3 linked regions of the Rattus norvegicus genome follow. The main gene of each other region encodes a partner of the protein of the gene in region 3 in a complex. Links are inferred from orthologs where the notes say so. Each region holds a gene or a part of one and is shown on either strand. Other genes may lie near its edges. The genes, in order: Parva, Rsu1 and Lims1.

Region 1 (4,150 bases), on a different chromosome or scaffold from region 3:
CCAGAGATGTCAGAAACACTCTAGAACTATGCCTACATTGGGATATGGTGGGATGGAAGTGAGAAGAAAGGACCAAGCCCGGGTCAGCCAGCTTAGAAATATGTCATCTGATAGCCACGCAGACATGGGCTCTGGTAAGAATCAGCCAGAGAGCCCCATGGTAGCTACTCGGGGACTACATGCTTTACTGCATGCTGTGTGTTTCTATTTCAGAACGCGATGCCTTTGACACACTGTTTGACCATGCACCAGACAAACTCAATGTGGTGAAGAAGGTAGGTCTATGCTGTCTAGGGGCAGCAGGGACCTGCAGTGCGTGAGGAAATCCCAGCTTGCATGTAGGGTGTCCTGGACATCTTTTTCCTCTCTTTGTCACTGGTTAGTCATCCAGGGCCCATCTTCTCACAGTGGGATGCCTACCCTATCCTCCTGCTCACACTGACTCTAGCTTTCTCTGCCCCTCACACAGAACCCTTCCTCTCCCTGGGGACAGGAGGTGATACCAAACAGGGATCAACAAGAGGGACCCAGGGGGTCATTTTTGTCTCTTGCCCTCTTCTTCATTCCCCTTCTGCCCCCACTGACCCCAAATCATACACTCCACCTGTCATCCTGTCTCTCAGGGTTTCCTTGTCCCTTTCAGCCAAAACCCTGTATATCACGTGGGCTGCCTAACCAAGAGGCCATGTCTCTCCCTGTGGCCCCAGAGCACTTTCACGTGTGGAGATCTCTACCTTAGTACTTTTGCATTTCTCTTTCAGACCCTCATCACGTTCGTGAACAAGCACCTGAATAAACTGAACTTGGAGGTCACAGAACTGGAGACGCAGGTCGGTGACAGTTCCAGGGACCCAAAGTTTTCCAGGCGGAGGGATGAGATGTGAGATGTATTCTTCTCAGAGAGATGAGCCGGATGGGGATCCCTCACCCCGCCCCGTGCCACCACCACCAGCAGCTGATTTTAGAAACATTTCAGGAAACTACTCTGTATGTGACACACAACACATGGCCAAGCTCTCTCTCTCCACCTCTGAACGAGTACAGTCTTAGAGCACCACTGTGCACTGATTGGATGCAGGCAGTCTTAGCACTGGTACCTTATACTCGTCTGTTTAGAGGGGTTCATGAAGTGATATTGGCTGATTTGGAGCAATGGGTTTATGTCATGGGTAGAGAACAGTCACCGCCCTCCTGTCGCCTGCCCTGTGTTTAAATGTCTGTTCCATCCTCTCAACCCCTCTTTAACACTCATACGTTCTTGGAAGGACATCAGTGGGGTTTGGTTGTCGCCTCGTTCTTTGATAATTTCACCCAGGTATATACTATATTTAGAGCATATCTACCCCGACTCCCTCATCCCAGATCTTCCCAGACACCCCCACCCTTCTCCCAACATTATGTCCTCTTCTTTTTTTTTTAATAAATAACCTACTGAGTCCAGTTAGAACTGGCCCTGTCCACATGAGTGTAGGACCATCCACTGGACCAGAGGCACACCTCAGAAGAAATCCAACTGTTCTCCCTCCAGCAGCCATCAACTGCTCCTCAGCTAGTGTTAGAGCATCGTAAGCCCCTCCTCCCTTTAGGCTGGCATTGGTGATTTTGAAAAGTAGCAATCAAATGATCGGCATGCTGTCCAGACTGCTCATTGTCCACGCCAGCACTCCTTAGGAGACACTGTTACTGGCGTTTGTCTAACTAGCCCCACTGTAGTGGTAAAAGAGACTACCAAGGCAGTATCTGCTGGACTCTAGGTAGAATCTGCTACAGCCATTTGTACCTTAGTACTTAATAACTAAGCTATAATTTGTACACCCCCACCTCCCTCATCCTCTCTCATTCTGAGTAAACTACAGCTGCCTGACTTGCACCCAAGTGTGAGCACCTCCTGTCGTCTATAGAGCTCTCTTCCGGTATGTCCAAACTCTGGGGCAATCTGAAACATTGCTAGAAAAGCATCTAGAATGATCTCTGGAACTTCCCCGTGACTCAGAGCCAGGGCTGCTGTGTGAGAGGAGGCTGCTTGCCACTCTGGCATCTGTCCACAGGTTCGACCACTCCAGCCACAGCCAGACCCAGCCTTGCTGCTTGCCTCACTGCCGAGGGCTCTGATCTCCACAGAGACTCTGAGCTGCCCTCTCCAGGACCCATGCGGGTGGAATGGGATGCCAGGCACAGGCCGCCCCTGCTTGAGGTGGCCCAGAAGAGTATGGAGGACTACCCTAGTTCCAGCTGGGCTTGAGGCCTCTTTGTCTTCTAGGAAGTTGAATGAAGAGGCTCCAGACCCAGACACTAGTTCACTTCATTCTCCTAGTAGGGCAGCAGCAGGAAGTGTGATTTGCAACTTCTAGCATCTGCGGTCGACAGACATGCGGTAGTCCAGCATCCTCTAAGGGGTGCTAGGATATCAGATAAGCACCTTTGGACACTGAGTCCTTCCAAAATCCACTCACTCCAGGCCATCACTGCCCTGATCACCCTGGACATGCAGCTCGTCTCCTTTGAACAAAGCACTCTGCTCTTAGCCCGACAGTCTGGTCCTTGGGCTCAGTTTCCCAACCCTAGTCCAGACCTCAAGGCCCTTTCTGTGGTCCTTAAGAGAGTTCTGTTTGGTCAGAAAGAATTTCTGTTGCATTGTTGTTTTCCAGATAGCAAAGGCTAGTGCTTAGTAAGTGCTACCTACATATCAAACAGGTCCTCAAGTGCTTTATATATGTTATATATAGTCCTCGTGCTAGCCCTGTGGAACATGCATGACTCCTCTGCACCCCCACTTTACAGGTGAGAAAAAGACAGTGCAAAGACAGTGCAGTCCCAGAGCTGAATAGTAGGGTTAGAGTCAGAACCTGCGTTTCTGGCAGCCATACTGTGCTGCCTCTGGAATCACGAGGAACGGGCACAGAAGCCAGGCCTGGAGGGACACACAAGGCAGGCCTGGGTGATGCCACCACGTTCTCCATTCCAATAGTAGAGTTACTTGAAGGGCCTTACGTCACTCTCCTTGCCCATCATCTGTCATTCCTCCCGATAGCTCCATACAGTGTTGTCCCTTCTAGTAGGCAGGGTAGCCTTCCCCCTGCACCTCACTTTTCTCCCCTGTGAAGTGGGGTATATTGGTTTGATGTCTATTCCACAAGATTAAGCTGAGGACCAAGCTAGGTGACACAAGGGCAGCTTCCACATTGCCTCCCCAGTGGAGCCCTCCCCTACTCCAGCCACTTGCCCCTTGTGACTCTCTCTCACCATTAGCCTGCCCTCTGAGGTGGCCTTGGGTGGATTGATGCCAGACTGATGAAGGAAGTTCATGCTGACACCTGGCTCTCTGTGTAGTTTGCAGATGGGGTCTACCTGGTGCTGCTCATGGGGCTCCTGGAGGGCTACTTTGTACCCCTGCACAGCTTCTTCCTGACCCCAGACAGCTTTGAACAGAAGGTAAGGGCGAGAGGCCTTGGGAATCCATAGCCTGCGTTCAGACCACCTGTCCTGGGCCTGTCTAGAAAAAGATGGAGGCAGCCTCCTGGCCAGGCCTTTGCTGGTTGGAGATGAAGCCACTCTAGTAACTGCTGGGCTTGGCATGTGAGACTCTGGGCATCCTGAACACTGTTCCTCACCCCTTGTTTATCCCTGCCTCCCTAACTTAGATACACAGCCAGACCTGTCTCTGTCAGAGATGACAGGAAAGGTAGTTCCTGAACCAGCTAGCACTGAGGTCTGTGGCCAGGCTGGTTCTTTTTTTTTTTTTGCAATGTGTCTATATCTGTGTGCCTGTATGTTTAAGTGCTGTGGAGGATAGAAAAAGGCATTAAATCCCTTGGAGCTGGCAGTTGTGAGCCACATGGGTGCTAGGAACAAAACGCAGTCCCTCTTATTGATGAGTCATCTTTCCTACCCCTGATTCTTTTCTATTTGGGGGAGGGGGTCCATTTGATATAGAGGTCCAGACCAGCCTGGACCGTACAGTACTCGTGCCTTAGCTGCCTAAATACCGAGATTACAGAAGTCGGATGGCTATAAATTGAGCTAAACTACATCTCCAGCCCTTTTAAGAACTGGGTGATTTTGTTTTGTTCTGGGCTGCCCTGATTCTGCCCTCAGGGGCCATTGTTATCCTACTTGACTAGATGAAAGGCATTTGGCCCGAGGTGGAGGT
Region 2 (4,314 bases), on a different chromosome or scaffold from region 3:
CAAAAGCGTTCTCTGCCTCCTTCCAAAATACTTGCTGCCGCGCCCAGCCTCCTGCTACCCTGTAAGGAAAGTCACTCGCTTACGGGCGAAGAAACTGAGGCATGCGAAGGGTGGGTGGGAGAAGGATTGGGGGGTGAAAGCTACCGATCATTTGCTCAGAGTCTGCACTGATCAAGGGTCAAAACTCAGATCGAAACATCTGCAGTGACTGCTCAGCCCTTTGTAGTGACTTGCAATGAAGCCCACAGGAAGTCCAGGCACACACAGCGTGGACTGAGTACCAAAGGCCGCAATTAAAACACCAGGTCATTCCTGTTCTTTCCCTAAAGGAACGAGAGCTTTGCTTCTCTTTCAGAACTGACTTTTCCGGATCCCACTCCCCTAGGGAACGTCCTGCTTGCCCATGTGGCTCACCTCATTCAGGCCACGCCAGTCAAGTCCTGGCTCGACTTGAGCTCTCTTTAACCCTCCATGGCCTCTCGTTGTTGACACGCCTTTCCTGATACTGTACTAGTTCTGCAATTCCATGTGATATATATTAGTTAGCCTCTCTCATTGCTATGACAGAATACCTGACAGACACAATTTAAAGAAGGAAGGATTCATTATGTCTCTTGATTTCAGGAAATGTCAGTCCATCGTGATGCGAAAGGCATAGCGTCGAAAGCTTGTGCCATGGTTGGCTCACATTTTGATGATAAGGAAGCAGAGTGGGACCAGATGCTAACCCAGGCCATAATTCTAAAGATCTCCTCTCAATGGCTTACGTCTTCCAGCTGGGCCCCATGCCTCAATGGTTCCGTAGACATCCCTCCTCCCCACCCCCCAAAACCCAGTGCCACTGTCTAAAGATCAAGTGTTCAAACACAGCCTTTGAGGAAATTTTGCATTTAAAACCAGAACACTTATGAATGAACTGTCTTGTTTCCGCTGGTTTGGATAATCAGTCGAATCTGGTGTTGTCTTGCATTCAAGCGAGTATATTCCTTTTTCCTGTGTGGGGATAAGAGGTTGTAAGACAAAGGAAAAGCATAAGAAAGCTGTGTACCCACCCATCCTGAGATCAGGGGTGCCCTGTGAACACGCAGAACAAAGTCAGATGTTGGCTGTGTGCCAGATGAGAGGACCTCAGAGAAAAGGGGCCTCTGGGGAAGCCTGGAGCCCCTGAGCATGAAATGTGTGGCCTCCGGTAAAACAGCCACTGGAGAAGAGATTTCAAAGGCCATTTGGTAGAACAGCGTGTTTCCGAATGTGCAGATTAAAGTGAGGAGAAGGGTAGACAGCTCTGCTTTGGTTCAAGGTCCTTCATGTTTGTCTCTGGGAGAGATGCTGGCAAGGCAATACATAGGCAGCGATATTGACAACATGGGAATTGGGTGACAGAACTAAGATTGGATGTGTTTCGTGCTCCATGAAATCATTAGTTCCTACTGGGTTACAGGACCCCAGGTGTCCAGGCTAGCCTAACCATTATGTCAGCACAAACTTCTGGAGCTTCTAATTGTAAGAGCCCAAGCCTATCCCTCTGTAAGTTCCCTTGTAACCTGTACACAAGCAAATGACTCCATTTTACCTGGAGATTCGTCCCTGCACCTGGCTCTGGGCGCCATCTCCTATCTCCTATGAGCGCCTATGAATTCTCTGTTCTGTAAGGGCAGACCTCTCCCTCGCCACTGTTGGAACAACCAGTTTCTAAACTGACACTTGGGAGGCAACAAAAGAGAGAGCATCATGTTACCTACTGAAACACTCGTGCCTGGCTTGCTGCCTACCCAGAGGACAGCTCCGTTTGCCAGGCCCTCCCCTCAGCCCGTCAGCCATAGTCTTGATGCCAATCAAGCGCATCCTTGTGCTCTACACATAGTGCATAGACATACAGTGTTAGCATTAAAAACCAGGAGGAATGGGTGTCGTTCCGAGGTATGGCACTTGCCTCGAGTCTGGTGGCCCTTGACTCCTTCCTTAGCAGCATACAGTACATAAAATAGTTCGTAAATATACACAGAGACAAACTGTAAATGAATGGATGACTCCTTGAGTGGGTATTAGAACCAGTGGCTCCTTACACAGAGAAGCAGGTCTCTTGGCTGACTCTTGGTTCCATTAGTCAATAGCAGAAGCAATGACTGGAATGAGGCCAGTCCTTTCCTCCAAAGATACTGAGGGCTGAGATGTGCATGGGACTCTGGAAAACACAGTTGTGTCAATAAAGGGAGTTAAGGCTGAGCTCTATTTATTTTAGGGTGGCTTTAATTCTGTTTAATCAGAATCACTCATAAATTATGGATTAATTACTATCCACCGCTCAGTTAAATCCTTTGCACGATGGATACCATCCACTGTAATTGTGGGGCACTTTGTCAACATTTAATCAGTGGTACTTATTAATGTGGCATTGATGTGTGGTGGCCATCCCTGCACCATCAATCACACATGAGCAGCCAGCACGATCTCCAACACCACCGCTCTGTGTCACATTAACTAGCCCCTGGGCTCTCGGGCTGAGCATTGGCGCTCACTTCTAATGAAATGGATAGTGTCTCTCCGTCCGGGGATCTTTTGTCCTTGTAGACTTAAAACACTACGGTTTTTAGAATGCAACTCCGAAAGGGCTTGGTGTACATAACCTGTTCTCAGCAGTCCCGAAGATCCTGTCTTCCCTCACCCTGCCCAGGAAGGGTAAAATACCAAGACCCTTGTCCACAATAGAACACTGCCATACAGGCTGTATACACATAAGTACACGTCTGTGCTTGCATGTGTAAAACTGTCAAGTCTTGGAGTGGATGGGGCAGAATCAATAGAACTCTTTTGGGCTTGTCAAACGTTTCTGAATATTTAGAGTTCGTCCTTAGGAAACTTAGACTAGTAAACAGAGCTCATGACTATCCCCCATCTCTCTCTCTCTCTCTCTCTCTCTTTTTAGCCTCTACGGCAGACACATGCAAGCCAACCCAGAACCCCCAAAGAAGAATAACGACAAATCCAAAAAGATCAGCCGGAAACCCCTTGCAGCCAAGAACAAATGAGGAGCACACACACACACACACACACACTGGTTTCTGGCCTCCTTGAAGCTTTAGCTCTTCTGGCCATCCTTGCTCTGTCCCACAAACAAACAACAGCGTGCTGGTGCCTACTTTTCTCTTCTTTTTCTTTTTCTTTCTTTCTTTCTTTTTTTTTTTTTTGAAAGAAAATTCTTTTCCCTTTCTCCTCCTGGTGCTTGAACGCAGCCTCCCTTTTGCACCTTTCTTGTGGAGGGGTGCACTTTTTATAAAGTCTTACATTCCTGCTCATTTGTTTCTTCTTTTTTTTTTTTTAAATTACCGAAGGCAGAAAACAAAGCTCTCATTCTCCTGCAAATTCCATGGGAGGCACTGGTTTCAGTTCCTTGAATAAACGTCACAAGACTGCTTATTATCAAAAGAATAATTAAAATCATGTAACCACTTAAATGTCACAGTTAACACTTTTCATTCTTTCTGTTTATTCGTATAACTCATTATTGTGCCTTATTAAAAATCTTCCCTCACCGCCAAGCTATTATGTTCATTTAACATCCAAATGATTTCAATAAAATCTTGAATTTATGTCACACTTCTCTTCTTGACTAAAATAAAAAAAAAATAACCTAGTCTTGGGGTGTGCCATGTGTTTTATTATTTCTCTCCCCCCTAATTTTTTTTTTACCTCCTCTAATGTTATTGATTGTAGATGACAATCTGTGGACCTTACCGTGAAACAAATACAAAATTAAATCAGAGTTCGTTTCCTCTCACATCAATTTGTCAGGTTTTTTTTTCCTTCTTCTTTTCCTTTGAAGACTGTTTCTAAATTAGGAAGGAAGAGAAAAACAAATCTCTAGGAGATCCTGCCAGAGGATTTTGGAAAGCAGCATCCTTGCACTAAACAAAACTGTGACTCGTGCCAGCGTCTGCTAGACAAGGGCTGAGAGAGAAGAGGGAGAAAAGCCCCAGTGTGTCGAGAGAGAACTCTGTTCACAGCAAAGCATTCTCCTAAGAGGCCAATGCCAAGGAACTTGTACAAACGCACACAATCTATACCACACCCGAGATGGAGACTACCCTGGCAGAGCCAGTCAACCACCAGTCACTAAGCATCCGCAGTGAGCAGCTCCTCCCCTCACCAGCAGCGGTGTGTGGAGATGAACATAAACCCAAGCACAAGTCTTGTGGGGGTACTTTGAGACCAATCAACAAAAACAGGTAAGGCGAAATACACTCTCAGTGGTCTGTGAGACAAGGACATGTTTCTCTCCTGTGCTGTCTTTACTGCCCATTGCTGTGCCTAAGC
Region 3 (4,950 bases):
TAGCTTAAGGCATTAAGCTCTGAGTCCCCTGGGACACATTAAGGTAACAGTTTGGTAGACAATGTAAATGGTCTTCCTGAATTAAGAAGCCATAGCTCCAAGCAGCTGTAAGAACTGTAAAGTTAACAAGTGGTTTGACATGTTTTTCCTGCTATTTTAGTGTGATCCTACTCAAGAATATGATCTGAACTGAGGAGTACTTCCACGATTGTCTGAAGAACAAACGTGGGCTATTGAAAATACACTTGTGGAATCAAGCTCTGCTCTCTCACACTATGGATTTCTAAGGTTGCTTGAGTTTCTCCACCTGAAGGAGAGGCTGCGCCCTCCCAGGAAGGAGATAGCTCACTTCAGTACCCACACTTAGCAACATAAAAACTACCAAGGAGAAGAGCCAGGAGGCTCACACAATGGGAGAGAATGCAAATGCTAAAATCAATATAGCGCAGTCTCATAATAAATAAGTAAGGGCACAAGCCTGATGGATTTTTTTCTCCAAGACTGCAAAGCACAGAGCAGTTAAAGAACTAAGATATTTCAGGGCTAGAAATACAGTGGTGCAGTGCTTCCCTTACATAAAACCATGGGTTTGACCTCTGCAGAAACCCATGAAAAACAGGCGAGACTGTCTTTAATTCCAGCATTCAAGAGGAGGATGAGAAACTCAAAACCAACCTTGGCTGCCTTAGTTTAGATCCCTGGTTACTTTATGTTCTTGGTTACTATGGCTACATAGCAAGTTCAAGGCTGGCCTAGACTATGAGACCCAGTCTCAAAACAAAACATCCCACCAGGCCTATTTCCCTCCTTCAGAAGCAGACAAAGGACACTGCAAATTTACAAAGACACTAAGTGCCACCAGAGTTTCCCTGTTCATGATGCAACTTCCCTACAGGAACTTTAGGACCAGGGTTGCTCTTCAAGTCTTAGTCAATAAGTCCTAAGAACCAAGTCAAAATCCTGCCTCAAAGAAAGAAAACAAACAAACAGATTGCCCAAGAATAAAAAAGACTATAGCTCTCATTCAAGAAATACTTTGGGGATTGAAGAGAGAGAGATGGCTCAGTGGGTGAGAAACACTAATCTTCCAGGAGACCCAAGTTCTATTCTTAGCAACTCACAACCACCTGTAACTCCAGACTCAAGGTCATCCTCTGGCCTATGTAGGTATATGCACATGCCCATATATATACATAACGTTAAAAAGAAAACCAGAAATACTTGGAAGGCCATGATAGTTTTACCAAATTCTTTACATAGAGGATAAGAATGTGAATTTCTCCTTTAAGTGTCTGTCCTTGATGAAATAAATAATACAGCCATTCTGGAAAAACATTCTGTTCATTTCTTAAAAAGCTAAACATAAAAATTACTATATAATCTGGTAAGTTCATATGCTTAGACATTTTTTATAGAAAGGTAAAACATGTCCACACTAAAACCTATTCATGAACAGCCACAGTAACTTTATTTTTAATTCCTAGAAGAAACCTGCCAATACCCCAAATATCTTTCAGGTACATCCATACTATGTATCTATGGCACATGAAAGGAAGACTGTGTAACTCCACTTATCTGGGGTACTAAAAAGTTAAAACAAGGGAGAAAAATGGTAGTTGCCAGGACCTGGGGGAACAAGGAACGAAGATCTGCTCAATGTGTACGACAGCTTCACTTTTGTAGCTGTCTGAGGGCAATGGCAATGGACCAATATGGATGTACTTAATGCATAAAAATGGGGACAGGGCACACATGGTGGTCAAGAAAACAGACAGGAGGATCACTGACAAACTGAAGGGCAGCCAAAGAGTGAGATTCTACACAGTGAGATTTGGGGTGAGGAGACAGGATCAGGGAAAGCCACCAGACCAGAAACATACTTGAGGGTCCTACAAAGACATCATTCTCTTGTAGTCTGAGATTATACTGTACATCCGTTCTTCTTTACAGCTCATTACCAATTCCCTCTCAACTAGACATTCCACACATCTTTCTTTTTCAGGTGAAAAATGTCCATGGTGAATACAATTGCTCATGTTGAGCACAGTGGTTATACAAACTCTTAACTCTTGGTCTTCTCTTCCTTGGTGCCTGGAACCCAGGGGTATGTGTGCATGCAGTGCTTCTGCTACATACCAAAGTAATCTATCTCAAGGAAAAGCACATGCTATGTTAAGCACTGTACTGAATTGGAAGCATTTTTCTTGAAGTAAGATTTGTTCAGCAAGAACAACAAAAAGACAACCACGGTGACTTAAGACTCACATTTAGGCAGACATTTCCTTGAAACTAAATCATGGGGACAACTGACAATATTTTGTTGACACTGAGAAAAGTTACGATTTCCACTGAAAATTGCAATGCTGGAAAATGAAGCATCTTGAGTTTAACAGCTTTGATGATGTTAACAAAAGTCATTGAAAGACATTAATACGATATATTAGCATCCAGAACCTTCCTTAATAGGGTAAGCCGATAAAACCCATTACAATGAGTAACAGTTCCATTCAAATACAAGACAGCCTGAGGAATTTTCATATAACTGTGAGCTCGGGTTTCATATCAAAACTAGCCTTAAAAAAGAAAAAAACACCTTTTGAACTTCTGGCTCTATCATAAAGAATACCCACAATTATTTGGGAAAGCTATTCGAATATTTCTCTTCACGCGGTCCATCTATTTAAAACCAAATTTCCTTTAAATAGTTCATTCAAAACACATCACAACAGACAATGCAAAAGGAGAACCCAGCTGCTTTTTTTTATTAAGCCAGACGTGGACAGGATCTGTAAAATATGTAACGGGCTATTCGTCTTAACTTTTCTGTTTAGGGTATACTATTTTCATTAAATTGCGTTATGTATGTTAATATATCACGTATTATTCAACGAATAAACATTTTACACGTCCGTGTTCATTTCTAATACAACAAATGTTAACAACAAATGAGTGATCCTAAGACCCTCTGTTTCGTTCTTCTAATCCGTAGAATGTATTTCACATTAAGATCCAAACTCTGGGACAGCATCTGCTCTCACACCCCTAGGCCGCACAGGACAGCTCAGCCGGACCACGAAGGCCTCTCCCGCCTCCGGCTAGGGCGGTGCGTGTCCGGGCCTCTGGCCAGCCGCAGGCCGCACGGCCGCGGGGAGGCAGAGATCGCCCGCCAGCCCGGCCCGGCCCAGAGTAGGCTCGGGCAGCGGCGGGTCGCAGAGCGCGCGCGCGCCCGTACCTGTTGGTCATTCCGGCCGCCACGCCCAGCATCTCCGCGGTCCACGCCGGGTCAGTCTGTGCCTCAGTGCCCGCCGCGGTGGCCGCACCCTCTTCCCTCGCTGCGGCGGCGAGCGGCAGATTTGAGGGCCGGTCCTAGGCAGGAAGGGGGCGGGACGAGGCGGCCCGCGGCCACTAGCCTGTAGTGGCCCGCAAATGGCGGCGTTGACCACGCCCCGAAGAGCGCCAGCCTGGGAGGCGTGGCTAAGGACCTCCAAAACCGGGCTGGGGCGGGGCGAAATTTTGAGAGGGCGTGGGACCGTGTGCTGGGGTGAAGTGTAGACTGGGGGGAGAGCCGGGAAAGGGGCGTGGCGAAGTCAAGGAGCAGCGGCTTGGAAGTGGAGCCTGGCGAGGACCCTCCAGCATTGGGCCGTTACAGGTCTTGGCCCCGCTCCTTAATTGTCATAGCTCCTCCTTCCTCCACTTAGTTCCACCCCCTTCTTCGGCCTGGCCCTAAGCCTGCTTTCTCCAAGTTTGGCTGTGGGTGCTGCTCCTGGCTCCAAGCAGGCAGAGAGGCTTCTGGGTGTTCCAGGGCTGGATGGCCACAGAGTCTAGCGGCCGGGAACACTTGGAAGGGCGTGATGGTCAAAGAACGAGTAAGAGTACCCGTGGCTTGAGGCTCTGACTCGACTCAACTTGGCGTTAGGCTACCTAATCGGTCTACAGAGCGTGGGTACAGGGTTCCACCCGACCTGCGACGGTCCTAAGGAGATTGTGCCAGTGAAGATGCCCTGCAAGTCAGTCTTCCAGGAATGGAGGTCTCATCTGGATTGGCCATTTCCAGTGGGAACTTCCTTGCTCTTGTTAGAATTTTGGCTGGCCTGCAAGATGGCTCAACAATTCAATCCCTGGTGGAAGGAGACAATCATCTCCAATTGTCCTTTGACTTCCAAACACGTATACACAATCAACCCAAAAGAAAAAATGTTGCCATTTTGGGATAGTTGGGTAAAAACTGGCTGCCTCTTGATTAGTGGTTTTTAGTTTCATCAGAGCAATGCCATTTGTGGAATGTGCTCTCAGAGCAATTCTACTTCTGTGGTTGACCAGTCAGCCACAAAGAAAGCTTAGAAAAGTATGGTTGTTCTAGAAAATGGGATTGAATTTCTTACTGCTCAGCTTGACAGTATCTCAGAATAAAAAAGGATGCCACCATCACAATTTCTTTAGTTTCGTTCTGTCTGTCAGCAATCAGCTTTTAAAAACAAAATTTGATATTTGGAAGTTTTTCACATAGGTGTGAATATGCACACCAGAAATACAAAGTACACACAAATTGAAAAAATGATGTGTATGAGTGCATTCATGTATGTCTACTTACCACCTATGCACCCTTCAGAGACTACAAGACAGTGTTGGAGACAGATCTGGGGTTACAGATGTTTGTGAGTTTCCCTGTCTGTGGGTGCTGGGAACTAAACTGAGATCCTCTGCAAGAGCACCAAACATGCTTCACTGCTGAGCTATTTCTTCAGCCCCACAAAGAATTATTGGAAGGAATATTCAAAATAAATAGTTAACTATGTATTTTTTTTCTGAGCTGTGCATAATGGTGCACACCTTTAATCCCAGCACTTGGGAGGCAGCAGCAAGTGGATGTCTACGAGTTCTAGGCCAATCTGGTCTATATAATGAGTTCGAGGGCAGCCAGAGCTACATAGTGAGATCCTGTCTCCAAAC

Evidence for each region.
Region 1: Lims1 (region 3) and Parva share a complex: the UniProt entries of both Homo sapiens proteins name them as parts of the heterotrimeric IPP (ILK-PINCH-PARVIN) complex. The link is inferred for Rattus norvegicus from reciprocal best matches to the Homo sapiens genes LIMS1 and PARVA.
Region 2: the proteins of Lims1 (region 3) and Rsu1 are in contact, whole or in part, in a crystal structure (PDB 7LT9), measured with the Homo sapiens proteins. The link is inferred for Rattus norvegicus from reciprocal best matches to the Homo sapiens genes LIMS1 and RSU1. Residues at the interface, in NP_001180417.1 of Homo sapiens: Cys252, Phe253, His254, Cys255, Asn256, Leu267, Asn268, Lys269, Ser279, Thr280, Cys281, Asn282, Thr283, Glu293, Phe294, Asp295, Met296, Lys297, Cys303, Lys306, Phe307, Pro308, Glu310, Leu311, Arg314, Leu315, Lys317, Leu318, Ala319; in NP_036557.1 of Homo sapiens: Asp21, Ser23, Asp24, Gln44, Val46, Ser48, His49, Val67, Asn69, Phe71, Asn72, His90, Asn92, Met95, Glu112, Asp115, Thr117, Tyr118, Arg137, Ala138, Tyr140, Ser142, Asp143, Ile161, Ser163, Arg165, Asp166, Glu184, His186, Gln188.

The regions. Positions count from the first base shown.
Region 1 is NC_086019.1:176,124,408-176,128,557, forward strand, and holds part of Parva (alpha-parvin), read left to right. Parts: intron 1-213; coding exon 214-275; intron 276-761; coding exon 762-830; intron 831-3,330; coding exon 3,331-3,432; intron 3,433-4,150. UniProt on the Homo sapiens protein: Plays a role in sarcomere organization and in smooth muscle cell contraction. Required for normal development of the embryonic cardiovascular system, and for normal septation of the heart outflow tract.
Region 2 is NC_086035.1:81,097,189-81,101,502, reverse strand, and holds the end of Rsu1 (ras suppressor protein 1), read left to right. Parts: exon of another isoform or gene 1-2,926; coding exon 2,927-3,029; 3' UTR 3,030-3,636; downstream 3,637-4,314. UniProt on the Homo sapiens protein: Potentially plays a role in the Ras signal transduction pathway. Capable of suppressing v-Ras transformation in vitro.
Region 3 is NC_086038.1:26,851,388-26,856,337, reverse strand, and holds the start of Lims1 (LIM and senescent cell antigen-like-containing domain protein 1), read right to left. Parts: upstream 3,329-4,950; 5' UTR 3,265-3,328; coding exon 3,233-3,264; intron 1-3,232. UniProt on the Homo sapiens protein: Within the IPP (ILK-PINCH-PARVIN) complex, binds to F-actin, promoting F-actin bundling, a process required to generate force for actin cytoskeleton reorganization and subsequent dynamic cell adhesion events such as cell spreading and migration.